4 linked regions of the Rhinolophus ferrumequinum genome follow. The protein of the gene in region 2 interacts with the protein of the main gene of each other region in a pairwise test. Links are inferred from orthologs where the notes say so. Each region holds a gene or a part of one and is shown on either strand. Other genes may lie near its edges. The genes, in order: RAB33A, RABAC1, ZFYVE21 and NUDT18.

Region 1 (7,771 bases), on a different chromosome or scaffold from region 2:
GAAAAGCTGTCCAAGGAGGGACCCGTGGGGCTGATTTGCCTGGCTGTTTGTGGCGAGTGCTGCCGCTGTGTCGATGTTGGGAACTGATATTAATAGCACCTCAAAAAGCGTGGCCTCAGCACCAAATTTTGTTTTTCTGTTTTAGGCCACTAGCTACTACTAAGTACTAAGCCTTCCGGATTCTCTCTCTAGCTGTAGTCCACTTCCAGTCTTTCCATAGATTTGAGCCGGGGCTCCTGGCTTTCCAGATTCGGATTGGACTTCCGTCTTTTACAAATTGCCTTCCCATCCAACCCCTATTCTGGGCACTTTACCACTATTCTGGGGCATGTCTTCATTCCGCGCTCTCTTTTCCCATACCGCTTTTATATTGTGTAATTCTGAGTCCTAAGTGCTGTATCAGATGCTGTGGATAGTCTCTTGCTATTTTATTATGACTTCGTTTTTTGAGAGCAGGTGCTGGCAAAAAGCGTTCGTGCTTCACAGACTTTCTGCGAGAGAAAGCCTAAGCAGGACTTTCAGAGTTGTGGGAGGAGTAGGGTGCGGGGCTGAGTGTAAATAGGGGTTTTGGCTATCAAATATAAGCTAAATTGGAAATAAATTTTGGCTGTATGCAAAACATAACATATGCCTTTTTCAAAGTTTTGGTTTACATACTCACTTAACAAGTATTTATTGAGCACTTGCCATTTGGACTATATGAAAAGAGCTCTAGGGGATACGAAAAATATAGGAAGTGGTCACTGTCCAGGTGGGGAGATGACATACACTGGTCATTTTAAATAATAATATCTGATGTAGTGCAAGAGCAAGAAAAAAGAATATGAGATGAAATAGCTAAGGAAGGACTTCAAGCAAGAAGTATTACTTGAGCCTGTCTTGAAGGATGAGTAGTGAAATTCAAATAATGGAGGAGGAGAAATGATATTTCAGATGGTGAATACATTGGGACCGAAGGTAATATTTTTAGTGATTAAACACCATTGATTTTGGATCCAGTCTGCCCCAGGTTGAATCCTGGCTCTGCCACTTGGACAAGTCACTTAACGGTGTCTCACTTTCCTCATCTACCAATCTCACAGGGTTGATAAGAAAATTAAATGAGCTAATATTCATAAATAAAGCATCTTAGAGGAAGCACCATGCTGTTTAAATCAAAAGGCTTGGAAGTATAAAAGAAACAAAACCCAGCTCATTTTCAGGAGACAATGGCAGAGAGTACATACTAGGAAGTAAATGAGGACAGGTTAATATGGTGGAGCCAGATTTGAACTAGCCAAAGTGTTTGGCCGCAATCGTGTAGGTGATGACATTATTTTTGGCTTTCAGTAGAATAGGGATAGAGAACGAAATTACTAAGGCATTTCAGGAAGTTTAACCCAGAAAGCAGTCTTTACTCGGTGAAAATGATCCAGGGATCCCTTGCTCATTAAGAGTAATGTTCAGAAGTGCAGGCAGTGGGCAACTTTTCCCCTAGGGCTGCATTGGGGAATAAATATTGAAAATGTCAATTCCACAATAAGGTAAAAAAAATATTTATATTTAGTATTTTAAAAGTTTCACAGATGTTGATATTTCTTGCTATTTCTAAAAGCCAATAATAAACATGGATTGATTAAATAAAAAGTTAATCATATCTGTTGGTGGATGAGGCTTTGGAAAACACTGTCAAAATTATGATGATAAGGTACCTATGAAAACAACTGGGTAAATTTGAAAGACAGTCAATTGTGCATTTAATGATGCACAATTAACAAAGAAAAGGCATTGTACAGCACTTTTAACTTATTTTTGCAATAGGTGCAATGAGGTAGATTTCTTGTCCTTTTAATTAAAAATTATATTTCATCTTTTTTTGTAAAAGCAATATACACACATCAAAAACTAACTCCAAAAATATAAGTGGAAGTTCCCCAAAATCTCATCCCACAGAGGTAACAAACACTTTTTATTAGGAAATGGGGCCCACTTTGAGATATCAAGTCTCCAGAAATTAGTGTTTCTATCTTACAAATATAATGTGAACTCTCAGACTCAGTGATGAGTTTTTTGCTGGAAGCATATGCGGTCTGACAATTAAGTTCGCGAACTCATCCTAGAAAAAGTGCTACATACCTCATTGCTGAATATCACTATGGTCACCTTCGAAGTACTCCCCGTGGGAAGCTATGCACCCGACACCAGCGTCTAGTCCACCCTTCAAAGCAATTTTGGAACTCATTTTCTAGAATGGCCATCAGAGCTGTCCTCGTATTACCCTTGATGTCCTGAATGTCATCAAAATGTCTTCCTTTCCATATTTCCTTTATCTTTGGGTAAAAAAAGTAGTCATTGGGGGCCAGATCAGGTAAGTAGAGAGGGTGTTCCAATACAGTGATTTGTTTACTAGCTAAAAACTCCCTCATAGACAGTGTGCTGTGAGCTGGTGCATTGTGGTGATGTAAGAGCCTTGAGTTGTTGGCGAAAAGTTCAGGTTGTCTAACTTTTTCACGCAGCCTTTTCAGCACTTCCCGATAGTAAACTTGGTTAACTGTCCAGCTGGTACAAATTCATAATGTATTCATAAATAAAATAAAAAAATGTTAGCAACATCGTTGCAATAAGTTCACAAACTTAATTGTAAACCTAGTACATCTAAATAATCTTATGTGAATATAGTTTTTTTATATTAGAAAGTTAGCATTAAGTCTGGCTATAAATTGGCAAAGCTTCTTTCCGCTCTACCTGTTGGATATGCCTAATTCATAGTTACCTGCCCCCCTTTTAATAGCTGCTCTTCTGTAGATAATGATTACCAGGAGCATTAGCTTCAAATACAGACGACAATGATGCTGCAAACTATTATCTAGACATCAACCAATCATAAAAAACAAAAATACTGTACAATGGTGATTGCCATTCCCACTGTATAATGATAATTGGTATTCATAATGATGACCTTGGATTATCCAACTAAGATTAAATCCTTCTTGAGATGGTTTTAATATTGAATAGCATGATCTAGGGTTTTAGAAATGGGTAACCCACATATATGCTAAAAGAGTTAGCTATAAATATATCTGCTAACTCAACTAAAAAGCTTACCCTGTTTCCCCGAAAATAAGACTTAGTCAGACAATCAGCTCTAATGCGTCCTTTGGAGCAAAAATTAAAATAGGTCTTATGTTAATTTTTGCTCCAAAAGACACATTAGAGCTGATTGTCCGAGTAGGTCTTATTTTCGGGGAAACACTGTATAACTAGAAGACCCCATTTCCCCAGCCATTCTGAGTAACTTGGACTGGGCTGAGCAGTCATATTCCACTTTGTTTACAGACCTATCACTGATGCACTGAATTGTTTTTCTCACAGTGGGAATGGATTTAGTTATGTTTGTCTCTTCTGCAGCTGAGCCCCACACAAGTAAGATGGCAGCTCATGTGTCTTGCTGGAGTCCCTGACCTTGATGACATTAGCAAATAACTCATGTCAGTGCTACTGGCATATGTTAATATTACCTTAGCCTATGAAATATGTGGAAGGATGGTTCAAGTCTTAAAGCAAACACGAAAGTGGTGCACTTTATTGTGTGGAAATTGTACCTCAGTCAAGTTATTTTAAAGAAATTGTGAACCTGCAAATCACATTTGGGAAAGGGAATACTGGTCTTGACCAAGATGTGTGATGCTTAATAAGCTTGGGGAAGCTGCTCCCCACTACCAGAAGAAAGTTCTGTTCATTTATCATTTTCCAAGCATAATTTAGGCTTTTAACAAATTAGACCCAACCACTTTGTTCTACATTCAGTTGCAGAGGGGTGAACCCTCCTAGGGGTTTCCAATTCCTTTTGAAACTCCACCATTCTGGAAGGACTTATGATTACATGGAGGGCTCTGGAATGCAAGACGCTGTGAGATTTATGCCTTGTCCCAAGAGCCCTCCACCTGGGCTTGGAATGGTTAGCCCCAGAAACAAAGTCCCCTTTTGCTGGAGCTGCCACCACTAGCTTCCCCGCTTCTCCTACCCCCTGTATGGCTCCCTCCGGTGGCCGGCCTTCCCCATTGGCCAGTCAAACACAACTGACTGCCGCAGCCAATGGGAGCCGCTCTTCTGAACATTCAGAAGATGGGTGTTCCTGGTGTGATGAGGGAAGGTTGGCGCCTGGCACGCACCCCCCCACACACACATCTGGCAAGTCTGTGAGAGAAACAGTAACTCCCCCTACACATGCACACCGGTGCCCTGCAGCGTGTATTGGCGGCGCCCTCCCTGGCTCCTCGCGCGCGCGAGTGCACCTGCTTCCTCAATAAAACAGAGCATCCCTTTATCCCAAGGCTTGGGAGGAAGCTGCAGAGGCTCAGCTCAGCTGCCTGCAGCTCTGGAGGTGTCTCCTCCCCGCACCCAGTCCCCGCCGAGTAAAGTGGTGTTGCTCCGAGGCTGAAATGCTCCAGAGCGGACCCCCGTGCGCTCCGAGAAAATGGGGGTGGGGAGCCTGAGATCTATAAAATAAATGGGGTCATGGAGAAAGGAGGACCATCCCGGGGTGGTGTGTGCCGCTCTCCCCACCCTCCTTTCCTCTGTAAGCTTCCTCTTTGTGGTGTGTCCCTGGGGTCCAGACAGGGGAGGGTCTAGGCCAAGGCGCCACGGCAGCTGCAGCGGTGGAGGCGGGGTCGCACGCCCCACCCGCCCCTCCGAGGGCAAGGCTGAAGGAGAGGGCTCGTGCCTTGCAGTCTCTCTTCCATCTCTCCTCCCCTGACTGGCTTTTGTGTTGGTGCCTCCGAGCTGCGAGGAGGGTGCACTGGAGGAGGAGGAGGAGGAGGAAGAGGAGGAGGGGGACCTGGGGTGAAAGGCACCCCACGCGCGCGCGCGCGCACGGGGACGGCGCACGCACACACGCGCGGACACACTCACGGACACGCACACACACGCACAAAGCTCGCTCGCCTGGAGCGCACTAACGTGGCCGTTTTCTTTGTGTGGAGCCCACCAGGAGGGTTGGGGCCCCGGTCCGGTCCCTGGGAGATGGCGCAGCCCATCCTGGGCCATGGGAGCCTGCAGCCCACCTCGGCAGCTAGCCTGGCATCCCTGGAGCTTGACTCGTCGCTGGACCAGTACGTGCAGATTCGCATCTTCAAAATCATCGTTATTGGTGACTCCAACGTGGGCAAGACCTGCCTGACCTTCCGCTTCTGTGGGGGGACCTTCCCGGACAAGACTGAGGCCACCATCGGTGTGGACTTCAGGGAGAAGACCGTAGAAATCGAGGGCGAGAAGATCAAGGTGATCCAGACGGTCAGGTCCGGGAAGGGAGGGCTCTGGGAGGGGTCCTCGCCTGACGCATGCTCTAGTGGTTGTGAACGGTCTGGTCAGGTTCGTGGCTGCGTCGCTGCTTGCTGAGCCCTAGACCCTCAGCACCTCCTCATCCTCTTTCGCCTTTCTCAGCGGCCTGGTTCCCACCTTGCCCGTTTTTTTTTAGGGCAGGCCGGAGAGGGTGCATTCATGCCCTCTGTCCCTGCCTGACAGCTCCTGCCAGGAAAAGCATGTGAGATCCCATCCTTGACCCTGAGCCAGGAGCAGCGGCACCTGTGGGCAGAGGGAGGTATGAGGTAACCTGGTCCTGCTCTGTGGGGTGGATCCCAAAGCACTTTACACATCTTGAGGTCTCTTCTTCCTCTTGGGTGCCAATAGGGTGCAAAAACCCACTTTGGTTAAGCCCTGAGACATTACAGGGGAGGAAAGAATGGAAATCCACAGAGAATTACAGTTTATGGCTAAGATTATGGCTGAGCTGGAATAGGGGTGGAGTGGGGTGGTTCTGGCACAAAGTCATGAGCCCTTTTAAAGAAATTGAGACAGGGTCACCTGCCAGCCCTCCATAATAGACAAAACTTATTCTTTTGGAACAGTCCCCCTCAAATGATATCTTCTTTATTTGTCTGGGGTACCTAATGCCATTATTCATTCTATTGGTATTGTCTTCAGCAGGCCTTTGTAAAAATGCAGAGCAACTTCTCTGAGGGCCAAGGGAAGTAAGTGTCTTGCTCCTACCCTCTCGTTAGTTTGTGAGATCAGCTAAGTACAGATATTCTTGTCTGACCATTTGTACTCACTTTCAGTTCATCAACAGTGCAAACTCGATAGGACCAGGATATTTCAATGTGCAGAGGCTAGCGGGAGGGGGGACATGACAAGGGCAGCTTAATGTGTCAGGGGAACAGAGAGAGGCAGGGTTATGGGCAGGAAAGTCACTTCAAAAGACAGGGCACTAAAGACCAACTCCACTAGACCCACAACAGGCCTTTTCTTGAGCCTATGGTCAGACCCTGTCCTGCAAAGGTAAACCTCCCTCCTGCTGGTCAAACAGCTCAAATGACCACAGGCGTGAGGTGGAGAGAAGGGCTGAGTAACTGGGGAGAATGTGGAACATTGTAAACTGTACAGACTCCTTGATTATTAAAATGAACATGTTTTAAAATGGCTTCAGAAACCTGGCCAAGGCACTAGATATGTCAGGAAGATGGGCATTGCAGTACTGGTAAGGGAAAGTTCTCGAGAACAACGAAACCCCAGGGTCAGGAATATAGGACACTGTTTTGAAATAGTGATATTTCTTGCCTCTTACATTTTGGGGGGAATTCCTACATTTTCTTTTTAAAGTCAAAGTAAGTATCTGTCTTTTCTCCTTTCCCAGGGTTTTATGTTGACATTTCCTTGGTTAGAACTTTCTCTAGGGTGTCTAGCTTCTTTACGTAAAGTTGTAAGATTCTGGAATTTCTAAAGCATCCAAAGTAGAAATATACTTACGGCTGTGCTCTTAAGCACTCAAGACCCTTAAAATTTAATGCTATTGCCTGTTTAAAATCAAGTTTCACATTGAGCCAAACAGCTCTCTGGATTTAAGAGGGGAAATGAGTCCACCTGAAATGTACAGGGAGGAAAAAGGAAGTGTTTGGGAGTCTGGGGGAGAAGGAAGCTAGAAACTGGACAATGGGAGGTGAAAAACGAGTGGAAGAGGGTCATCACCCAGTGACCTCAGGGGAATTTTTAAAAGGTTCCTTCCCTTCCAACAGCCCAGTACCTAGCCAAACTGGATTTTGTAGTCTCTGCCAAAGATTCTGGACTTTTTCCCAGGGGGCAGTGCCTGTGACAGTGTGACTCACTAGAAACGGAGCTCAGCAGGACACCACGTGCAGAGAAGTGCTCAATACAGGTTTTTCAGAGGAAGGTGATATTTTCAACTTGGTGATATGAAGGAGCCCTCTGAGAGCAGATTCTGAAGGAGCTCAGGGTGGGATGTGGGTGTGGGGAGATGGGGACCCTGCCGCTTGTAAAGCTGCTGCAACTTCAGGGCCAAAGCCAGCAGGCAGGCCCAGCATGTCTGTGGGAAGATGGCAGAACATAGCAGCAAGCGCATGATCTAAGAAGATTTGGTCCCATACTCTGATGGCCTGGTGTTTCTCAAGGAACAAGTACCAAAACCATGCTAGGAGGTGACTGCCAAAGGCTTCTCCCTTTGGGGAAGAGAGAAAAGTCCAGTCTGACAGGCTGAGGTGGCCCTAGACCACAGCCAGCAATGAAAGGCTGTCAGGCTATAAAATGCCAGTCCTCGCAGGAAAATGGAGAGGGCTCAGTGAGCTCTTCTCTCAGTTCAAGAGTAGGGTGTGGCGTCTCCTGGGCTGCCTCCCTGTGCCCCAGAGTAGCACTATGTCAACCCCTACAGGGGGATGACTGATTTAGCATATTTGGGGCTACTCTCTTAATTACCAGTGCCATCCCTAGGGGTTTGAAACCC
Region 2 (6,990 bases):
GAGGGTACTTTTGCGGCTAACCCCCAATAAAAAGCCTGGGCACTGAATCTCTAATGAGCTTCCCTGGCAGACATTTCACACGTTGTCACAACTCACTGCTGGAGGACGTAAGCACGTCCTATGTGACTGCTGGGAGAGGACTCTGGAATGCTCATGCCTGACTTCCTCTTGATTTCCGATGTACCTTTTTCTCTTGCTGATTCTGCTTTGTATCCTTTCATAATAAAACACAGCTATGAGTCCAACTGTATACTGAGTCCTCTTAGCAAATCATCAAACAGGGGGCTGGCCCTGGGGACCCCTGGCACAGTTTCCTTCCACAACTCTTTTCTCCTCCTTGGCACTCACCACCATTGCCATCCTATTTTAGTTATTTAGTTACTGTCTTCCCCTCACCGTGTGTCCCCCTCTGTTCCAGTACCCCAGCATTACCCCGCACAGACCCACAGATCCTGGGAGCTTATGTGCTGAATGACAACTACAACAGCTTTATTTCCAAAGCTGGTTCCCTCCCTGGACTTGTGATGGGAAGAGGGCTGTTGGTTGGAGCAGCAGAGCCGTGCGGGACAGGGGTGAACAGGGATGGGGCAGCTGGCTCGGGAGGCTGGACACCTCACACCGGCTCCATCTGCAGCTCTTCCCCGTCCACGGCCTCGATCTGGTGGAAGGCGGCATGGGAGCCAATGACCACGAGGGTGGCTCCTGCAAGAAAATGGACAGTTCAGGGCCTTGCTCCCTCACCTGGCCCCCACCACCCACCCCCGCTACCCAGCCCCTGTACTCACCCAGGACCCAGAAGACAGCAGAACCTGCACCAGCCAGCCAGAAGAAGGGAAAGGAGACGGACCCAGCAAGCGCATACTGATGGGCAGGGCTCACCTCTCGGCCTGGGGGCAGACAGCGTGGGGCAGTTGTTGACACGTGTGTCCTCTCCCAGAGTAATCCCGGATGCCCCCAACAGTCTGATGTCACAAGCTTTTGGGAGCTTTAGGATCATCCAAACTCATGCCAAGGTCCTCCAAGTCCTGGCCCCACCCATTTCTCCAATGTCCCCACGGTCCGCCAGGAGTCTCAGACTGGTGGCCCAAGGCCAAGTCTGACCTGTGGAAGTTTTTTTTTAAGTCTGTACAATATTCCCCAAGAATGTGATTAGTGGCTAACAGAGAAACTGAATGATTTCACCTAACAATAGATTTCTGGTTTCTTGTGGCAGAGTAAAATTGGGTCTGCAGGCCCGAGGGGGCTGCAGCGGCTGAAGCCAGGTAGTGACTGTGCTTGAGGAGCTCCCTCCATGCCCTGTGCTTGCCCACCAGGCCTGTCCACCAGCCTATCTCTGTCATGTACGTAACTTGCAGGCCGTTGAAGGACTGTATCAGGACTACCTGCTTATCTGATCCCAATTCCTCCCTGTCCTCACTCCAAACATTGAGCTTGCTCTAGGTGGGGAATGTTTGGTGCCAGTCTGGGACCATATGGGCCACAGGCCTCAGCTTCCCTCTGTGAGAAGTCCCAAGATCTTTCTGGTCCCACCCAGGAAGCAGGACAGAGGCGTGGGACAGATCTGGGCCAGTGTAAGATCGCCACCTGCTGTCTACTATGGATACCTGCAGCTGACGCTTTCTGTACAAGTCAGGGAGAGAGGGGAGGAGTAGATTTAAGGGACAGCATCCAGGAGGAGAATGAGCCCCGGGGGCTCTCATTCTAGGTTTGGGGAATAGCAATTTGGGTGGCTGAGGCTGGGTGGCATTATCTGGCGCATGTGAGATTTTAAGGGACCAAGTTTGGGGGTTTAGGAAGACTTAGGTGTGGGATGTAAGGCTTTTGTTCCAAGAGACCAGAATTTGAAGGATCACGGATGCATCTGGGCAGGGGATTTCTCACCAAAGAGCACAAACTTCGACTGCAACGTGCGCAGATAGAGGATGTAACAGGCACCAAAGAAGACGGCCAGAGCCACCAGCAGCATGGGGGACGTCATCCTGGAAGAGGGCAGGGAAGCATTCGTCAGGCAGCTGCGGCTGGCACTGCCAGGGGGACAGACCCTGAACTTCTACACCGGCGGATGACAGGCTATGTATGTCCTTGAGACCAGGCAAGTTCAGGTGACATTTGGTCACACTGGGTCCTGCTCAAGCTGATGGGGGAGACCTGGCCCTTCGGGGAGTCTGGCAGAGCTATCCCATGGGGACGGTGCCTGGCCAGGGAGAGAAGGGGCTGGCCGCTGAGGGCGGGGCCGACCAGTGCCACTTGGTTGGGGCGGGGGCGGGCGGAGAGGCGGCACTCACACGCAGTACAGGATGAGGCCCAGGAACACGAACACATAGTTGCTCTGGTAGTACTCCACGTTGCGTACAAGGCGCTGACACAGCTCGCCCAGGTTGCGGGGCCTCGAGAAGCGCCGCTGGTCCACGAAGGTGCCCCAGGGCCGGATGGTCGCGCGGTGCCGCTCCAGCCACTCACGGCCCGCGCCGGATGGGATCAGTTTCGGCAGCAGGGTCCTGGTGGGCGGGGCCAGGTCAGCGGTAGATCAAGACCGAGGCGGGGCCTCCAGCAAGAGCGGGGATGCAGGAACCCAAACCCCGGGGTTCTGCGGGTGTGCAGGATGGGGGGGACGGGGGAGGGAGGGGTAAGGGTCTGAGGCTCCTGGATCCCAGGGGAAGAGGGGGCCGAGGGCCCAGGCTCCAGAGTCCTCGAAGAGGAAGCCAGGGGCCTAGACTCTAGTCTCTGGGGATCCAGATTCCTGGGACCCGAGGGAGAAGGGGGCAGAGGACCAGAACTGCCGGGTCTCAGTCCTGGGAGCTAGAGTAGGCTTGCTTACGTGGCGCTCAGCCCTTCCGCCTCGGCATCCTTCTGTTGGTCCTTCTCCGCCGCCATGTCTGCGTCGTGAGGGGTAGAACAGCTGTAACGAGCCCTGAGCCCCTCAGACCCCTCGGGACCCGCAAGAGCTGGGCCGCAACCAGCTCAGCGGACGTGGCGCCTTTCGGAAGCCGTGGGGGGCGGGAGTTCTGTCGCGGAGCACTGTGGGAGTTGTAGTCCTGATGCTGTCGGGAAGGGTGGGCGCCATGATGGTGGTCTGGCTAGCAAAACACATTCGGGAAATGTAGTCACATAAAGCGACAATGAGCGCCTCTGGGTATTGTGGGAGTTGTAGTTTCAGTAGCCGGGCGTGTGGCGTCGCGGAAGGTGGGTTGTCACGAGTGGGCTTTATAGGAGCTCTAAAGGCGAAAGCAAGTGTTAGGTATTCTCTCTTGTGCAGTGTACAATGGGGACCGTGTAGAGCTGTCCTTCGGGCTCTAGAGGGCATAAGAAACACCTGGAGAGCTTGATAAAACACTAGATAAAAATTCTGATTTAGCAGATATGGGGTGGGGCCCATTTATGGATAGGCATTTTTTTTAATTGGAGAAGGGGAATAGGACTTTATTGGGGAACAGTGTGTACTTCCAGGACTTTATCCAAGTCAAGTTGTTGTCCTTTCAGTCTTACTTGTGGAGGACGCAGCTCAGCTCCAGGTCCAGTTGCCATTGCTAGTTGCAGGGGGCGCAGCCCACCATCCCCTGTAGAAGTTGAACCTGCAACCTTGTGGTTGAGAGGACGCGCTCCAAACAACTGAGCCATCCGGGAGCTCAGCGGCAGCTCAGCTAAAGGTGCTGTGTTCAATCCTAGTTGCAGGGGGTGGAGCCCACCATCCCTTGCGGGACTCCAGGAGTTGAACCAGCAACCTTGTGGTTGAGAGCCCACTGGCCCATGTGGGAATACAACCGGCAGCCTTCGGAGTTAGGAGCATGGAGCTCTAACTGCCTGAGCCACCGGGCCGGCCCCTAGATAGGCATTTTTAATAAGTACCTAGGTGATGCTGCTGCTGCTGGTGTATGGACCATATTTTGAATAGTGAGACTCTAGAGAATTCGTGGGAATCTATTCCTTCCTCAAGAGACAGGCTAGCGAGAGGGCCATGGTTGCTGCAAAGCTCCCTGCTCAATCCTTGGGCTCTCAGGGATAAATGGTTTAGGACTAGAAACCTAGAGACACCCTTCCCCTTCCCCTTGGATGGGAAGAAGGGAAGTTGGGAAAGGAAAAGGGTTGAGGACATTTAAAAGAGAATTTTTTAATGAAAATCCAGGCTGTGTTGACCTTGTCACCTCCCTGAACCTCAGTGTCTTCATCTAGACAGTGAGGATCCTGATGGTACCACACTCGAGGTGTTAGGACGATTCAGTTACATGGTCCCAGTAAAGTGCTTGAAAGAGTCTCGATACTTTGCAACTGCTCGATAAATGGGAGTGGGTGTTATTGCTACTATATTATCATGAATGTTACGACTATTTCAGAGTTCAGCCTTCTCGAGTTTAACAGTAATGTATTAGGGGCTGTTGGCCTGTATCAGGGAATGCCCCAGAGTGGCTGGCATCTCAGGCCGGGGCCTTTCTTTTCCCTAGTTCCCACAGCACTGGTTTTTCCGTCTTTGCCCCTGCCCTTGCCACCGAGTTGCAGGAAAATGACTGGCATTCTAAAGGGGTGCACAGAAAATCCTCAAGAATGTGTGTGGCAGTGTTGGGAAGCCTGTGCTCCCTTTCATGGACCGAGGGCCTAATTTTCCAAGGCTGGGTTGGGCTGAAGAAGAAGTCCCACATGGGATATCCAGGCAACCCTTAACCCCAGTTTTTGTCTTCCAAGGTTCACATCCCTTTTAGATTTGGGCTTTGAGGCCTGCGACATTCCCAGGAGGTGGGGTAGGTGGCCCCTGCTAAAAGGGCTGGTGGAGCAATAAGCAGGGAGGACCCTTGGGAAGTCCCAAGCTGAAGCTGAATGAACTACACTTTGAAGATCAGTTGGCTCATTACTGTTTATTTCCCGTTTGTCAGACACAGACTTTTAATAGTCTTGTTCAGGTTTCCCACTTGGGTCCAGCTTGGCTTCAGGAAATAAATGGCGGATGGCGAGTGCACACTTAGCTCAGAGCATTAATGGGGGAGCAGCACCTGAGTTCAGAGGTCACCAGTGAAAGAGCCCCCAAGAAGAAGATGAATCTTGGGGAGCAGAGAGTTGAAGGCACAGGTCCAGCTGCTTCCTCCCATGGCCAACCTTGGGAAAGTTGGGTTTGATTTTTGTTATGAGAGCTATTGGATTTCCTTATAGGAACTCAGTGAAAATGGTTGTACTCCATACCCCACCAGTACTTGCTCTGAGCAGAGGACATAATGGGCAAAGGTCTGGAGGTGTCGAACAGCATGGGCCATGGATGGTGGGGTCCAGAGGCAAGGACATTGTGGGAGGGGCCCCCTGAGTGGAGTATGGAGGGAACTTTAAATCAGGGGATTTGGAGAGTTGGGGCCTTGTCCCACAGACAATGTGGGAGAGAAGCCCTTGAAACAGGGATTGTGGAAGAAGGGGCCCTAAGGTAGAGATATTGTGAGATATGGGAGGATCCCTCAGACAAGAGGCTGGTGGGAGATGGGGTCCGTGAGAGAGGGGACCTGTGACAGGTGGGCCTGAACCAGGGGGAAGATGGGAGGTAAGGGGGTACCGGAGAAAACTATGAGAGATGGGCCCCGGCCCTGTAGTCCCTCCAGCCTGAGGCCTCCTTCCTATCTCTTGGATCACCAGAGGAAGAAGAGCTGGGAGGAGAAGAAGACCCTAGCATAGACAACCAGAAACCTGGGTTATATCCTTGCTGTGTGACCTCAAGGAAGTCCCTGCCTTCTCTGGGCCACTGATTGCCCACTTGTCTATGGGAGCATTTCTTACCCTGTACCCTATGAATAGTTTCTGAGGCCTCCCTTGAAGAGGTCCAGGCTCACATAACCCCTACCAGGACCAGGCAGGCTGTGTCCTGGGCATCATGAGTAGTGCCTGGCACACATGCCCCTGCCCTTTGACTAACTGCCCCCTCAGGTTCAGGCACTCCTCCTCCAGCCATTGTCTTGTGCAGTGGACGTGTGTACACACTCACCCACACTTGTGAGCTCTCGGGATGCCAGCCCCAGCCCCTCCTGACTCTCACCTCTGGGCTGTATTAACAAGGCTGCCTCAAGGGAAGTGGTGTAGCTACCCAACCAGAATGGCTAAAATTCAAAAGTCTGACAATATTGAATGTTGATAAGGAAGTGGAGCAACTGGAACTTTCTTTCATGCAGTGTGGGAATGCAGAAGGATACAGCATCTTTGGAAAGGGTCTAGCTATTTCTGTTAAACATAGTCCATCCCAAAACCAGCAACCCCACTCCTAGGCATGTATCCAACAGAGATGCATACATCTGTCATTACTAGAATGTTCCTATTCCGAGCAGCACCAATTGTAATAGCCCCCAAAGTGCAAACAAGTGAAATGTCTATCAACGGGAGAATGGATGAAGAAATTATGTTATAGCCACACACAGCAATGAAAATGAGTGGGCTACATACATGTGACAGCTACATACATGGGTGTTTGTCACAAACGCGATGTTGAGAACGAGAAGTCAGACACGAGACAACATGCTGTAAGTTTTCATTTATACAAAGTCCAAGAACAGGCACAGCTAAAGGATGGTGACACACATCAGATCAGCTGTGGCTTTTGGGGGGGGTGGCGCTGACTAGAAAGAGGCATAAGGGAACCTTCTGGGTGGATGGAAATGCTCTATATTGATCTGGGTGGTGGTTACACGGTACGCCTTTGAGATTTGTGCACTTCCTGGTATGAAAGTTTATCTCAATAAAAAGAGAAAATTGCACAGTGACTTAGAACTTGGACAGCCAGGTACAAATCCCAGATTTGTCGCCTCTCAGCTGTGTGAATTTGAGCAAGTCACTTTCCCTCTCTGTGCCTCCCAACCGTGAGGATTACATGAGCTGATACACACAGAGGGCTTAGAAGAGGGCAGGGCACAGAACGGACGGTTCAGTCGCCACTGTCACCATCATCACGGTCGGCACTGTCATCACCCCCCCATGCTCCTTCTCCTCCTCCAATATGCGAGCATCACGAGTCTGAGTCCCTTCCTCTCC
Region 3 (7,780 bases), on a different chromosome or scaffold from region 2:
CTGACACTAATCTGCACAGCAAAGAAGTGGGGGGACAGTGGGCGGAAGCTCAGAATGCCATGTCCTACCCAATTCGCCCCGCCTGTTCCCAAGCACCACAAATAAACCTGTTTCTCCCTGTGGGTCTGTCCATGCGGGAGTCACCTCCCCACACACACTGATCCTAGCGTCCTGGGAACACTGGACGGCAGAGGGCAGCTAATAGTGTCGCTCGGCGAGTCCCCCAGTACGTGTGCCACACCCTCCCCGTGAGCTGGCCAATGAAGGCCAGACTTGATTCTGATCTCCAGCCCAAACTGCTCCATTCCAAGTTTCTTTTCCTCCAGAACACTCTGGTTATTTCTGGACTCTAGGACCATGCCCCAATATGTTTTAAAATATACTTCCTCAAACCCAGAGAAGTCGTCCACCCTCACTAGGTCCCCCTCCTCCAAGCTCACTGGGCTCCTAGGGCTTTCCTTGGCTGTTCAGACCCCCGTTATTCATAGTTCTAACAGGCGGGGCGGGGGTTCTCGAGGGACACCCTGCCAACACTGGAATGAGACTTCCGTGAAGGAGGGTGTGCCACAGATTCAAGCATTTCAACCCAACTTTATCAGAATCTCACAAGAGTTCTCAAGACAGCCTGGGCTTGGGACACACCTCAGCGCTGACTTCCACACCCAAGGCCCACCAAGAAAGGCAACTATGCAGGGAAACATGAAAATTCTTTTAGGAAACACCCAAAGGGCTGAGCGACCATGTGTGCTCCCACACACACGTGCAGGCCCACGCAGCTGCGCAGCACACCTGGCTGAAAATTTCATGGGGGGATCAAATGGAGAAAAAATGTCTAAAGAGGCTCCTGGGGGAGTGGGTAATGATGGAAAAATGCTGTGACTCACTGGCCTGGCCTGTGGGTGACGCCCTCCAGGTGACTTCCGGGTCAACTGCAGATACCTACAGATATGCAGCCTGTCCCGTTCCCCCCCCCAAGGTCCTGGGGCCCCCTTTCCCATGATGGAAGAGACCAATTGGCCTCTATCTTCGCAGTCATTCACCGGCCTCCTCCCATGTCATTTTGAGCTCTCTCGACTTCTCCTTGACCCGATAACATCTGCCCGGCTCCCTCACTGCAACAGTTAAGGGAACTTGGTGACATATTCATTTATGAGGACAAGAGTCACGCTCTTGCCTTTTTTCCCTTTGATTATCTTTTAATAGCACTAACTAGGGAGGGGATGTGAGGTAAGTTACATCCTGTGTGTTCAAAGAGTACAAGTGCCAAGGGCAGAAATGTAGAAAAATGCGTCAACGGGGAGAAGAAACCCAGGGAGGCCGTGGCCAGCCCTGCTCAGTGACCACCCACACCCCAACGACTGCCTCGTGTCCAGGGCGACTCCGACCCTCCCTGTGTGCTGGCCTCTCTCAACTCAGAGGCAGCTGCCATCTACAGGCGGAGGGCCAGGGCTGGCATCAGAAAGCGACCAAGGGGCAGGGCTGGGCGGCTGTGTCCTCCTCCGGGTTGCCCTGCCTCCAGCTGCAGGCACTTCTCCGCCCACTGCATTAAAACACCTGATTTCAATCCTCCGCTGAAAACCTGCCACCTGTAACAGTGATTCTCCGGAGAGGAAAAGCAGTCCATCCAATACTAACGGGGTTGTAAGTTAAAGAACTTCAAAAAAAAAATCACAGCACTTTGATGGGGTCACACTAATGTGGGATATGAAACAAGGAACAAACAAAACAAACACACAAGCTCATAGACACAGACAACAGAATGGTGTTTAGCAGAGGGAAAGGGGGGTGGGGGAGGACGACGAGGGTAAAGGGGGCCAAATACATGGTGAGGGAAGGAGACCAGACTTCCCGCGGTGAGTACACAGCAGGGTACACAGATATTCATACTGTAAAGTTGTACACATGAAATTTATATCATGTTATTAACCAATGTTACCCCAATTCATTTAATTTCAAAAAATCACGGCACTTGGATGTCTTTTAGACATCTCCGATTTACAGGAATGCATGAACTCCTCTGCCTGGCTTCGCGCTGACAATTACTGACTTATGGGATGGAGTCCCAAGTCCCTGGCAGGACACAAAAGGGCCTTCAGAAGGTGCCGCGCCCACCCCGCCAACAGGGCAGCTCGAGGCCTCCCTACCCCAACTTCTCGCAGCCTCAGCTGCTCCTGCCGTTGCAAGCAGGTGCAGCTCCCCGCGCCGGACGCGCTTCTGCTCGCCACCTGGAGACTCCGACTCCAACCCGACTCTGCGCCAACATCACTCGCCACCCGCCACCACGTCCACTCACCCGGAGAACCCCAGCAGAGAGGTCTGTACGATAAATGAATACGAGGCTCCGCTGCCCCCGAGGTCGTGCAATTCACAAGTGACCTCCCGGTGGGCAAAGCCTGGGGCACATCAGGAAGGGAGGTCCGTGCGAGCGGCACAGAAACTTAGAGGCGGGGAGGTGGGGGACACCGGAGCCCCTAGAGAGGGAACCAGGCAGAAGGCAGAGTGCCCAAGGCCCCGGGCGGGGCCGAGCGCGGGCAGCAGGAGCCCAGTGGCGCGGAGCAGAGGTGCGCGAGGGAGGCCGTGAGGGGCCCCGGGGAGGGCAGCTGGGGCCAGAGGAGGCCAGCAAAGAGCAGAGGGTGGGTCGGGCTGGGGAGGGGCGTCCGAGAGACAGGGCGAGCCCGGGGCGCGGACAGGGGTCGTGGGGAGCGGACGAAGATTCCGAGCCAGGGCTGGGGGCGAGGTCCCGGGGCGCGGACCGGAGGGGCGCTGGGCGCCGACGGGGTCCTGGGGCGCGGACGCAGGTCTGGCGGGCGGCCGCGACTTACCTCCTTGTCCGGAACCCACTGCGGCTCCTCCAGGCCGAATGGGCTGCCGAAGGCCCGGTGCTCGGGCACCATGCGCAGGCCGCTGGGCGAGCGCACCAGCTTCTTGGCATCGCTGCGTGCGGCCACCTCGGAGGACATTACGCCGCCTCAGCGATCGCCCGCCGCCCTCACACGGGCCCTCGCCCCGCCAGAAGCCCCGCCCCGCTCGTGCGGCTGACGGCGCCCGCACCCAATCGCCAAGCCCAGCCAGGAATGCGAGCCAATCGGCGCCAGGGCTCCGCCCCGTTGCTGCGCTCTCCAATCTGTGCAAGGGCACCACCTCTGCCAACCGGAGGGCAATCGCCAATCGTCAGTGAGGGCGGGCCCGGGCACGCTCCGCCCCTCTAGGGGCGATTGAGACTTTGGATTGGCCAGTTAGTCTGTGACGTAGCCGCTACTTCCTCTCTGATTGGCGTATCTGGCTCGGGGCGCCTAGCACTCATTGGAAGAGGAGGTTTGAGGGGCGGGACGGCGTGAATAGTGAAACGCGCGAGGTGGGAGAGGTGGCAGTTCGGAGGGGCCGGGGTAGGAGCAAGGGAACGTGGGGAGCGGAGGGTGGGAGGTGGGGGAGGGTTGAACACCGGAGTGGCCTTGGGCACAGTGGAAGCCAGGCGAGGGCAAGTGGGGACCCCTGCGGGGGCCCGAGGGGGACGGCGGGGCCGCGGGTCACTGAAGCCCCGGGCCCCCGAGGCCCTGAACCGCGATCATCACCCGCGGGACGGCGGGCAGAGGGACAGCTGGGGCGTAGGTCCTAGCGGGGTCCTGTCAGTGGGAAGGAACCTGGGGCCAGTGCAGCCTGGACTCGTGAGCGGGGTGAGAAGGTTGATCCTCGGGGCTGTCACCCCGCAGGGTTTAGAGGCCACCCAGCTTCAGGGCCAGTTTGGTCTATGGCAGTAGTTTAGGGGCGGTGGGGTGAGAGGTGAACCAGGACCCTGTGAAGTTGTGGTGTTTTAGAGGTGGAGACAGGGCGGGATCCAGGGTAGTGAGTGACCAGTCTCTCCTGCCCAGCAGCTGCCTCCCAAGCTGTCTGGACCAATCGGCACTGTAGGCTCTTGGCATCACGACCCTCGCCAGTGCCAGACCAGACCCTGCGAGTGTGAGGGTGCAGGAGACCTGGTTCTTGAAGCTTCAAAATAGCCTAATATTGTCCAGGTCCATATAGTATTCTCAACATCGCAAGGAACAGTCCTCAGTTGTGTACGTCCCATCAGCCAAGATATTGGGACTTCACGAGTCAGCAGAGCACTGGGACTTGGGGTGGACAGTCACCCTGGGTTTGGCCCAAGTGGCTGCTGGTCTTGGTCCTCGCGTGTCCTGCCGTTTTGGGAGGCCGTGAGGGGATTACGGAGTGGCTTGCAGGAAAGCTCCTGGGAGACCCTGGGTTGAGTTTGCGGCAGCCAGCAGGCCCCTGGAGGAGGCCACCCACGTGGCTGGCTGAGGGCAAGGCCTGGCTGGACACAGGCTGCGTTGTTCTTCATTGAGGCAGCTTGGTGGTCACCGAGGTTCCGACCCCCTCAGCATCCTTCAAGATTCCAAACTCACTTTTTCCACTCTTTCCAGATTCCCATGGAGACACTTTTAAGGGAAATTAAAGTGGCGAATGCAAGGGACACTTCATCTGAGTAAGCCCAGTGCACGTGGATCTCCAACTTACACAGCGTCCTCGCCCAGGACAGGTGGGTCAGGGCAGGGCCAGGACTCGGGCTGGAGCTCATGTTCACTTCTGGCACTCTCTGCAGGGCACGAAACGGGACAGCCATGTGCTCTGGCAACCAGAATGCAGTAGGTGGGGTGGGGGGGCCTTCGAGTGCATCAGTGTGTGGATTGAGTCCACGATTTCTGAGTTACCAAAGGACCGCTCAACAGGAGTGCTGTCTCACACTTAACTCAGTGGCACTCCTGGTACGTAACATCTGTCCTCCAACCTCTAGGCTGCCGGTGAACCAGGCCGCTGTCACTGCTACACTCGCTGAGGTGACAGCAAGTGCATCAGAATTTCTGTCCCTGGGAAGTTACTCATCTTTGTGGTCAGCACGCTGAAGAAATGGATTTGGATCAACTGGATCTGAATCCCAGAATTATTGCTGCAATTAAGAAAGGTATATTTCTTGGTACTTACATATATGCAATAGGTGTGTACCTGTGTGGGTGTACATACGTGTATACACTTTAAGTAAAACAAGTCACCGAGGTCGCCTGTCCCTGTCTCGGTCCCCACTTTGCTCACTCTTCCCCGAGACAGTCGGTCTTGATTGGTTCACTGATGCTGGACCGTGTGCGGGCTGTTTAGTTGTGTGTGTGTTTAACTGAAAGGACTATTTTAAAGTTAATTTTATTTTCATCCAATTAACATGTGCATATCATCTAAAAGTGAACCGTAACTGCTCGCCACTTGTGAGTCCTTTAGCAATTTTTTGTAATTATATCTGGGTTTCTAGAGAATGTGCTTACGTTGCTGTGTTTAGTGTGTGGGTATCACCAGTTACTCAGATTCCTATACGGGGTGAGGGCTGGCTGCTTGTACCCCACAAGTACCCCTACTTCCTCCACCTCTACCCCCACAGTTGGAACACAGTTTGGGTCATCCCAGATGTCAGGGTTGTGAGTGGGGACCTAATGGCCATCTCGGAACCAGAAGGGGTTATGACTGTTTTTTTCCTTGTACCACCTTTGTTTCCCGCGCCCACCCCCACCCCCACCCCAGTTAGTAGTTGCCTCCTTTTTCACATGCTGCGTTCTCTGGGTCCTTCTCACTGATTTTTCCCAACTCCTCCCGTCAGTTTGTCAAACAGTGGCTCTTTTCTAAATGCTCAAAGGATGGGACAGCTCACCCACTCTGCTTCCTGGCATGTCCATCCCCAGCTCCCTGTGCGGCTGACGTCCTGGGGCCTTCATCTTCTGTCTCCAGGGCATGTTGTCAGGGATGCTTCCGTATTAGGATGCTGGTTGATCCACCTGGGGGTTGGTGCTGCAGCGTGTGGCAATGTCCTGCGTGGGGCAGGGTCTCAGCCCTGCTCGTCCACCCTTACTTAGCTGTTGCTTTTTTCAAAGAGTGTATCAGAAGTTTTGATTTTCCTTTCATCCAGTCTGACCACATTTGTGTTTTAACTGGAACATTCAGGGCATATGTACTTAAGGTAATTCCTGATAAATGTGGGTTTAACTCTCCATTTATGTTAAGCTATTTGTATTGTTTTATTTGTGTGTTGTTTTCTCTTTTTTGCCTTCTGGCCTGGCTGGATATAGTTTTAGCAGACATTTTATTCTTTCTACTAGTTTGAAAGTAATGTTCTTTACCCAAACCCAAAATTAATTTATCGACTCTCCTCCCAAATTACCAGGTCCTCTGGATGTATTAAGTGTGATATTCCGCCTCCCCCCGGCCCCCGGCCCAGCCGGTGCCCATGACGCTGTCACACTCACACGTTCTTTTCTCTGTTAGCCCTGCTGGCCACCCCGCCGTGCCCGCCACCGGCTGGTGCAATGGGTATCGTTGTGGCTTTCCTTGCTGCACCCCCTCCCTCGTGTGTGGTTCCCCACTCACCCCCACCCCGGCTCAGCCTCTAGTGCATGGTGTGCAGGCTTCCTGACAGATGTCTCCTGGCGTGGGACTGGGTAGCCACCTAGGAGAGGCTGTCTGCCCACCTGGTCCCACTGCTGCAGCTCAGGGGTGGGCCTTCCCCAGGCCCTTTCCCTCCTTGTCCTGCGGTCATCATCACACTCTACCCAGGGGTTCAAGAAGCAGTGGATCCAGCCCTGCCCACCGGGTCCCCAGAATTGGAAGACAACGCACCTCTTGTCACTGTTGTGTTGCCTGGCCTTACTGTAGTCTGACCTTGTGCTGTAATTTATTTGTATAATTTCAGCCAAACTGAAATCCATAAAGGAGGTTTTGCATTTTTCTGGACCGGACTTGCAGAGACTGACCGGCCTCTCCAGCCCTGATGTGCAGTACTTGCTGAGCACAGCCTCCTCACACTTGCGGGGCCGCAGTGTGTTCACAGGTGGGCAAGGACAGGTCTGCTCTGCCAGCGCGCTGGGCGTAGCTGGAGCCCTCGTCCCTGCCAGGAGCCGAGGGCCGTGTGCACAGCCAGCACCGAGGAGGAGCCGCGGGACGTGGTGGCCGCACGGGGATGGGGCCGTGCTGAGGGCCCTCGCTCTGTGGGTGGGTTCTGGGAAGGGCGAGGCCGAGGGGCACAGGAAGCAGGGGGAGTTGGCAATCAGGCGGAGCCCAGGCTCCCTGTAGCTGGCAGGGGCCACGGTCCCGCCTCTCCCTCCGGCCCCGCCCACCTGCCTGACGCCCCGCCCTCCCCAGCCCTCGACCTGCACCGGCTGGAGGAGAGGTTCCCCGCGCAGCACCAGCGCCTGAGCCTGGGCTGCCCGGTGCTGGACGGGCTCCTCCGCGGCGGCCTGCCCCTCGACGGCATCACCGAGCTGGCGGGACGCAGCTCGGCCGGGAAGACCCAGCTGGCGCTGCAGCTCTGCCTGGCGGTGCAGTTCCCACGGCAGCACGGAGGCCTGGAGGCCGGTGAGTAGCTGCTAGGTTGGCGGCGGGCAGGGGTCAGCTGTGTTCTTGGCCGTGTTCCATCAGGGTTGGGTTCCTGCAGTTCGCATCCCCGCCTTCGCCTTCACTCCGCTTAGCGGTTCCTTCGCGAGTGAGGGGACCTCTAGGAGCCGCGCCCTGCTGGCCAGCCCCTGCCCCACACGGACCTGCAGGTGGTCCCAGGCACTGTGGGGCTGACATGCGTTCACACAGCAGCAGCTTGCAAGCCGTTTGGCCCAGAGCCACGTGTGCAGGGCGACAGCTCTTCACTTGTAACTGTTGGGCAGGTGAGGTCCGAGGGCAGTGGTGCGGGGCTCCCTGCCAGCTGGTGTGTGTGCCATGAGACCCGCTGGGCCTGGCGTTACAGGGGGTTTTC
Region 4 (7,903 bases), on a different chromosome or scaffold from region 2:
ACACTGCCCAGGCTTGGCTGGAGGGGATGATAGTGGTGAGGGCCTGTCCTGCTCCCTTCTCTCACCTCCCTCCTTCTTATGTTCCATTAAAGTCTGTTGTTTTGTGAAAGCTGCCAGTGTGGTTGGCCCTGCTCCTGCAGGCCACATGGGGGGCGGGGGGGACATGGAAATGCAACAGGGTGGGCAGGAGCTGAGGCCCTCGTGACAGGAGCCTCAAATACCCTTGCCTGCTCTTCCCTGGACCTGGCCCTCCCACCCCCCAACTTTCCAAAGAGCAGATGGAACCTTCCAAAGGGCTGCTCCTGAGGATATTCCTGGCAGCAACAAGGCAGAGACTGAGGGTGCAGCAGCAATGTGGCTTGGAGCCCCAACCCTCCCCCAATACTCCAGGCTCCCCCATCTCTCCTGTCTGACCTGACCTGAAGCTCCGGGAGTTGCCCAGGAGAGTCCTCCCCCTGGGCTTGGCCTGCTGCCTGAGACAGTTGGCAGCCCCGTCCCATCCCCAGGGCCCTCTGGTGTGGCTCTGCTGCTCTCCTGCCCTAGTACATCTCAGCCCCGACATGCTCCCGCTCGTCATACCTAATTGTTCTGTGGTGGTTCGGGAAATGGTGTTTTTTTTTATGAAATAAAATTTTTTATTATAAATTTAATATACTTTCAGAACATTCAGAAAATAAGACAAAGTCCCCTCTAAGCCCTCCACCACTCACCCCCCAACCCAACCACGGATAGTATTTTGGTGTATTTCCTTCTAGTATTTTCTCCACGGGTCTGTTTTACACATAGTTGAATTGGTGTGCTTTGTACTTGGTTTCTTTCTTTTAACACTATTGTGATCATTTTCTATGTCGATACCTAACCTTCATTTTAAACAGCTGCTTACATTCCCCAAAGTGGCTGTGCCATGATTTACATAATCGTCCCTCATTTAAAAAAAAAAAAAAGTTGTTTCTTCATTGTTTGCAAAGCTGGGTTTTCATTTTTTCATGGGATAGAAAAAAAATTAAGGAACTGCCACACTTTATGGTGTCAGTTTTCATTTAACTGATCTCATTTCATCCCTTACCACAATTTTTATGTAGATATTATTTATTTCCATTATATAGAAGAGGAAACAGGCTAGGGATAAGGGAGTTACCCAAGGTCACACTGCAATTTAGTGGCAGAATTGGGATTTGAACGAAGTGTCCTGACTCCGGCTGCCTCATTTACATTATAGTCTTAGCACTCAATGGCCTTTGCAGATGGGCTTACTGTCGTCTCTGTCCTCCTTCCAACATAAGCACGTTAGAGCTCATCATGTTCCAAGTAGCAATGAGTGACCCATGTCTACCTACACTTCACCTTACATAGCTGTGTCCTGATGTCACCCCAGGACCCCAAACACGGAGTCTTTCCTGTGGGAAGATGGGGATGGCCCTGTCACTAGGCCTGTTTCTTCCCCCACAGACCTCTCTGTCACCTCCCCTTCCGTGGTAGGTCACGGCACTCTCCAAGGACATAGTGGGTCTGACTCCTTGCAAACACAGGTGGGCCAAATGTCCCAGGACTGGACCAGGGATGAAGCCAGTCCAGGTGGGGACCGGTCCAGAGACTCAGCGTGAAGCATTCAGTGGCCCTCTTCCCCAAGGTGGCTCAGCGGGCTCCCCTCTCAGTCTAGCCCTGCCCTTTTGGCCTCTGCTGCTCCCAGCAACCTCCTCCAGCCCCTCTCACTGGCCCAGTCGGCACAGAGGCACAGCCCTCAAAGCTGGAAATGACCTCAGGTGTGTAGACCAAATGCCAAGTTTTTCTTATAAAGTACACTATTTTAGATTTTTAATTTTGAAACGACTGTAGATTTACAGTTGAGTCACAAAGATAGGACAGTTTCCAGTTACTCTTCATCCAGCTTCCTCTCATGTTGACACGGTACATAATCAAAACTAAGAAATTAATTTCGATACAACACTATTAACTAAGCAATAGACTTTATTGGGATTTGTCACGCAGGGTCTCAGCTCCTGCTCCCCGCACAAGAACGCGGGATATGGTGAGGCCAAAAAGGAACAACGGAGCCATAGATAGGGGCGTCATACCACTATATTCTCGCTGGCAGCTGGGTTGGAGGCACAGGAAGCAGGAGCCACACGATCCGCAACCTGCCGTCTGCTTCTCTGTCAACCAACCAATCAACCAGCTTAGCCACGGCAGTTATATCAGTGGCCAATGGCTAACCGGTAACAGCTGATGGCCATCTGATCACAGCTGATGGCCGTCTACTATCTGAGCCAGCACCTTTCCACATGAGGTCAAGAGCAGGAAACTGCTCTCTGGGACTCAGTCCCCACAGAATTCCACCAGTTTTCCACTAATGTCTGTTCTGTTTCAGGATGCACCTGAGCCTGCATCATACAGATGGCCTAGACGATAGATGTGGCTCCCCCAAGGTCATTCAGCAAGCCAGTGGCAGAATGCAGGCTGAAGCTTCCTCCTCCCTATACCTGGGGCTACTGTCCTCCTTGCCCTTCCCACTTTGACAAGGGACAGGGCTGGCTGCTCTGTGAATGAATCTAGCGTCACAGACACCCTTGCCCCACCCTTCCCGCCCATCCCTGTCCCTGTTTCCGAGGTTGCCTCCATCACCTTCCTGTGCACGTGCTTACAAGCACACTCAGGTCTACATGCCCTGAGTTGGCTGGCTCAGCCTTCGCTCCTGTGGGTCCTGTACTGTGTGACACTCTTGCCCACCACCCCCACCAGTCAGTGCTCTTCCCTCTCTGGGAATAGAGGGCGCAGAGCAAACTGGATGGAGACCTTTCTTTGTTTCTGGTTCTGTCGGTTTCTATCTCAGCACCCCCTCCCTGCCTCCGCTTTTCCCATTCTGTCTCAGGGCCTCTCCTGCCTCAGTCTAATGTGTGCTCTCCTTCTCCCAAAGCCTTGAAAAAGTGTATTTCCTGTTGTCTCCCTCCGCTCTCCGGAAGGGCTGGTACACCCCCTCGAGGGCCTTGCCTATGCCGCCCTTCACAGTTTACAAGCGACTTTCACGTTGCCTCATGTGCTTCTCACCACAAGGTGATTAGGTCCACTTCACAGGAGTGCTTTTCCCAGTGATAATGGGGGGAGTGGAGCCAGGGTTTGTTGCAGTCTTTGCTGTTCCAGGCAGTCAGGCCGTCTGGTGTTTATCTTAGGCTGCCTCTGAGGCTTTCAGAGCCCTGCCCAGACATGACCTCATTCTCTCTCAAATCATCCCCGGGAGGCAAAAAGGAGTCTGAGACCCATACTGTTCCCACTTCACAGATGGGAAAACCGGAGGATAAACACACACACACACACACACACACACACACACCAACTACGTTGACAAGTTGCTCTGCAGTCCTGGAGTCCCGACTCTCGGTCCCGTCATTCAGTTGTTTGGGAGGTGAGATGTTTAGGGCTGGAGGGCAGCAGTATTCACCAAGTGCCTCAAAAGATTGCAGGCCCACTGGGGATCCCCCACAGACTAATATAGGGCCCTACCTCCAGGGAATTCACAGGCACTTCAGTTTGTGAGAAGGGCCTACAGAGGCCATCTGGTGCAGCTGGAATTCCTTAGTAAAAGCTAGTTCCGAGGTGGCCTGGGGGCACATTTCATGAATGTGGGCCTTTGTGTGGTAGTAGGAGAGCCCAGCAAGGGGGTTGGTGGGCTGCCTGGTGATGGTGACCTATGCTGGATTGCCCACGGAGCTCCTCCCATGGCGTCTCACCTTCCCAACAGTGTGAAGGAACAGTTGTTGTGAGCCTATTCTACAGATGAGGAAACTGAGGCCCACACCTTTTCCAGGGACACAGAGCCAGCCAGTAAGCAGAGGCCTGGTATCTGGCTCCAAGTCCAATGCTTCGTCTGATCCAACAAGCCACTGTCCCCTCAGGTGCACTAAGCCAGCAGGAGGAAAAGGGAAGACCTAACTGAGGATGAGGAGCCCCGACTTGGCTGGCTTCACAGTTTCACTCCAGCTGGCCCTGCCGTCCTGTCCTGAGAGGAGGTTAAAGGAACCTCTGAGGAGGAAAGGTCAAGCTGGGAGAGAAGCAGGAGCTAGCCAACACCCACACCCTACTCTCAATGGGGCTGCCTGAGCCAGCTGGGTGGGGGGGCAACAAAGGTGAAGGAGCACGGCTCAGTCTGCACGGAGAGGGCCCTGCAACTATGTGGGAAATGGCGTGGGCAGTGGGTCGGGACACTGGTGAGGGCTCTGCCTGCCTATCCCCGGCCCTCTCTCTGCCCCAGCTCCCCTCCTCCCGTCATCAGGCGCACCTTGGCCATCCCAGTTCTGCTCTCTCCCTGCTCTGAGCACCGTCACACCTCCGGCCCAAACCAATCATTTAGCACTTGTCTTATAACACTGAGTTGACTGTTTTTTTAAACATGTCTATGTCTACGTTCCCAACTAGATCAGAATCTCCTTCAAGGCAAGAGCTCTCTTCCTCCCTTCCCCCCACTACGGTGACATTCAGTACATTTTTAGTGAAAACGGGGGTTATTGGGGGGAAGTGATCGTTTCGGGCAAAGCAGTGGTATGTTTATGACCAAAGCTGGACAGTGGGTCCCGGCCTCGCCCCGGGCCTCCGTGACGTTATCGGTGTTGTTGTGATGCTACCGTCGCTGGCCACTGTGGCTCTCCGCAGCCTGCAGGCAGGATGACGTACCCGTTCGAAACCGGTGCGGACTTGCGCGCGATGGAGAAATCAGCAAGGCTGGCGGCTAGAGGTGCCGGGAGAGGGCGAAGAGGAAGGAACCCTTAGAGAAGCCGAAGCGGGCGGGGCCGCACGACGCGGTGACCAGCGCGAGCCAGCCAATCCGGGCAGGCCGCGGGGACGCGCAGCCTATCAGTGGCTGGGACTTGGCCGGCGCTTCCTCGTTCGCGAGCACGCCCGGCGCGAGTCGGCGGGGGAGGGGACGAGGGCCAGGGTGACGCACCACCGGCTGCACCGCCTTGCACCCCACCCGACTCGGCGGGTCTGCGGGGCACGGCCGCCGCCTCCCAAGGGACTGGATGGCCTCGGAAGACCTGGCGGTGGAGCTGGCAGCGGTGCTGGGGGGCCGGGGACTGTGTGTGCAGAGTTGTGACTCGGAGCCGGCCGAGGAGCCGCCGGCGCCCGTGCGGCTGCGGAGGAACGTCTGCTACGTGGTGCTGGCCGTGTGCCTCAACGAGCAGGTGAGCGTCCGCCCGCCGGCTCTCCGCCCGGGTCCCGGAGCGCGCAGCCAGCCCCGTGGGGACAGACGACCTACCGGCAGCAGCCACCGCTTCTTGGTGGGTGGCGCGTTCCAGTTTTGCAAAGCACTTTCACTTCACACTGACACCTGAGCCTTGTGCGGCCCAGCCCTACGATTGTCCGACGAACAGAGGAGGAAACCGAGGCCAGGAGCCTTTGTCTCATCCCACTAGGCCTCAGTTCCTTGAGGGGGGATTGTTTTATTCCTCTTCCTTTCCCCAGAATTTAGTATAGCGTCCGCCGCCGCGGAGTGGACTCTCATAAAGATCTGTCCAGTGCTGCAGAGACCTCCCCTGAATTCCACGGACAGTAATGGCACAACTTGCGCTTACGCTCAGACCCACTCACCCCTGTGTGATGCTCTTTTTGGTGCTGATCCTTGTACAAATTGCTGTAACAACAGTTAGAAGGGACCGGGACCATAGGTAGGAGTTGTATAGTGTGTGGGGTGGGGGCATGTTTCAACCGCAGACTTCAGTGTGAGGACGGGCCACAAGCAGTTTTTAAACCATGAGGGGAGGTGAGAGAGACAGTGACATATGCAGACAGTGCAGGACACATGGCACCTCCCCTTGTGGGGCCTGATTCCCTGTCCTTGAAGCAACTCCCGGGAATCTTAGCCGCTTTCTGAAATGGAAGTCCAAATGCAAAAGGATGAATTGCAGAGAGGGGCATCTGCAACTGGCAGCCACAGAAGAGCCAGTCCCCAGGAGAGCTCAAGAGGTTGAAGGTGTCCACCAGTAAGGGGGTACCGGGCGACTGTGTTTGAGATTTCTGTCCCCAAGGCACAGGAAGGCTTCCGGCTGTGTTCCTCCTTTGGAACACAGGCTTCCAGCCTGGCTGTGTGGGGGTGAGGATCCTCTCTCTCCCCTCAGGATGAGGTGCTACTGATCCAGGAGGCCAAGAAAGAATGCCACGGGTCATGGTACCTACCCGCGGGGAGGATGGAGCCCAGGGAGACCATCGTGGAGGCTTTACAGCGGGAGATGAAGGAGGAGGCCGGGCTGCACTGTGAGCCTCTGACATTGCTGTCTGTGGAGGAGAGGGGCCCCTCCTGGATCCGCTTCGTGTTCCTCGCTCGCCCAACAGGTACAGCCCACCTGGTGGCACTGTGGGCATGGGGCAATCGACACCTTTCCCCCAGCTTGACCTCCCGTGAGATGAGCCCCTTTTGTGGCTGGTACAAGCCTGGCATCTCCATATTTCAGTCTGAGGGTCAGAGCTAGAATGCCTGGGTGGCTATCAACTCTGCCAGGCCCGGCACTTCTCTCAACACGGACCCTTTCCCCCACCCTGTCCCCCACCGCTCCCCCAGGTGGAGTTCTCAAGACTTCCAAGGAGGCAGATGCGGAGTCCCTGCAGGCTGGCTGGTACCCACGAACCTCCCTGCCCACTCCGCTGCGAGCCCTTGACATTCTGCCCCTGGTGGAGCTGGCCGCCCAGTACTGCCGGCAGGCCAGGCACCCTCTTGTTCTGCCCCAAGAGCTTCCCTGCACTGTGGTCTGCCAGCGGCTTGTGGCCACCTTTACCAGTGTCCAGACAGTGTGGGTGTTGGTGGGCAAAGGGGGGGTACCTCACTTGCCCATCTCGGCCTGTGGCTTTACCCCTGTGGAGCAGAGGGGTGGACTCAAGATGGCCATCCTGCGGCTCTTGCAGGAGTGTCTGACCCTGCACCACTTGACAGTGGAGACCAAGGGGTTGCTTGGACTGCAGCACCTGGGCAAAGACCATACAGATGGCATCTGCCTCAATGTTCTGGTGACAGTGGCTTTTCGGAACCCAGGTATCCAAAATGAGCCCCCGAAGGTTCAGGGTGAGAACTTCTTTTGGTGGAAAGTGATGGAGGAAGACCTACAAAGCCAGCTCTTACAGAGGCTTCAGGAATCATCTGTCGTCCCCCTCAATAGATAGGAAGGTGCCATCAGTGAGCAAGGAGGTGGGTGCCTGTGCTCCCTCCACCGCGGTTTTGCCTCCTTCTGAGGAAGGCAGGTTAGCAATCAGGGATCTTTTCACATTGGGAGCAGGGCAGTTCTCCTGCTCAGGGGGACTTCCATCGCCCCTCGCTGTGGAGCAGGTCCCTCCATTGTACCAAAAGGGACAGTGCCTTTTACCAAGCAAGGAGTCCAGAGCTCAAGAACCCAGTTGCCCAGAGGTATGAGGGCACCGCTCCCTAAGGGGATGCAAGAACTTTCTGAACCTGAGATGGCATCTTATCATTTTCCACGCCTACTCCTCCTTTGGTAAAGGCCTAAATTCAGATTCTCAGGCACTTAGAACATGGGGTGCTGTGGGAGGTCACTCCAAGGAAATGGTCCCCTTGCTGAATAAATAGGTGTTGCTTACTTTACCTTCCCACCTAAATGTCTCTGTGGGGAGGAAGTGAGCAGGAAGGGGGGACTGCCCTCAGAGGAGAAGTTCCTCCCCTTGTACCACTGACAGCCACCCACGCCATCTTAGACAGCAAGCTGACGCTGTAGGGGCCAGTCTGCCGGGTAAGGGGTGACTGAAGCAGGCAGGTTTCCTGCTGTCTGTGTCCTCCACGGCTTGTGTTGGGCCCACTGGGGCCCTCTTCCTCTTGCCTGCCACGGTAGGAAGTGACCGTATCCCCATCAAGGTTTGAGCAGTGAGAACACCAGGGAAGCTCCAGGTGGGCAAGGAGCTGTGAGAGCTT

What was found.
Region 1: the proteins of RABAC1 (region 2) and RAB33A interact in binary tests that used the Homo sapiens proteins (3 or more experiments, as listed by UniProt). The two-hybrid records come from large-scale screens. The link is inferred for Rhinolophus ferrumequinum from reciprocal best matches to the Homo sapiens genes RABAC1 and RAB33A.
Region 3: the proteins of RABAC1 (region 2) and ZFYVE21 interact in binary tests that used the Homo sapiens proteins (3 or more experiments, as listed by UniProt). The two-hybrid records come from large-scale screens. The link is inferred for Rhinolophus ferrumequinum from reciprocal best matches to the Homo sapiens genes RABAC1 and ZFYVE21.
Region 4: the proteins of RABAC1 (region 2) and NUDT18 interact in binary tests that used the Homo sapiens proteins (3 or more experiments, as listed by UniProt). The two-hybrid records come from large-scale screens. The link is inferred for Rhinolophus ferrumequinum from reciprocal best matches to the Homo sapiens genes RABAC1 and NUDT18.

What each region holds. Positions count from the first base shown.
Region 1 is NC_046284.1:25,857,612-25,865,382, reverse strand, and holds the start of RAB33A (ras-related protein Rab-33A), read left to right. Parts: upstream 1-4,759; 5' UTR 4,760-5,001; coding exon 5,002-5,271; intron 5,272-7,771.
Region 2 is NC_046298.1:39,928,438-39,935,427, forward strand, and holds RABAC1 (prenylated Rab acceptor protein 1), read right to left. Parts: upstream 3,011-6,990; 5' UTR 2,875-3,010; coding exon 2,819-2,874; intron 2,499-2,818; coding exon 2,286-2,498; intron 1,980-2,285; coding exon 1,882-1,979; intron 888-1,881; coding exon 786-887; intron 703-785; coding exon 614-702; 3' UTR 461-613; downstream 1-460. UniProt on the Homo sapiens protein: General Rab protein regulator required for vesicle formation from the Golgi complex. May control vesicle docking and fusion by mediating the action of Rab GTPases to the SNARE complexes.
Region 3 is NC_046289.1:1,588,807-1,596,586, forward strand, and holds the start of ZFYVE21 (zinc finger FYVE domain-containing protein 21), read right to left. Parts: upstream 3,015-7,780; 5' UTR 2,961-3,014; coding exon 2,823-2,960; intron 2,328-2,822; exon of another isoform or gene 2,145-2,327; intron 1-2,144. Other genes in the region: DNA repair protein XRCC3, read left to right, coding at 4,906-4,960, 6,728-6,865, 7,177-7,389. UniProt on the Homo sapiens protein: Plays a role in cell adhesion, and thereby in cell motility which requires repeated formation and disassembly of focal adhesions.
Region 4 is NC_046301.1:44,313,022-44,320,924, forward strand, and holds the start of NUDT18 (8-oxo-dGDP phosphatase NUDT18), read left to right. Parts: upstream 1-4,897; 5' UTR 4,898-5,012; coding exon 5,013-5,270; intron 5,271-6,107; coding exon 6,108-6,321; intron 6,322-6,547; coding exon 6,548-7,143; 3' UTR 7,144-7,903. UniProt on the Homo sapiens protein: Mediates the hydrolysis of oxidized nucleoside diphosphate derivatives. Hydrolyzes 8-oxo-7,8-dihydroguanine (8-oxo-Gua)-containing deoxyribo- and ribonucleoside diphosphates to the monophosphates. Hydrolyzes 8-oxo-dGDP and 8-oxo-GDP with the same efficiencies.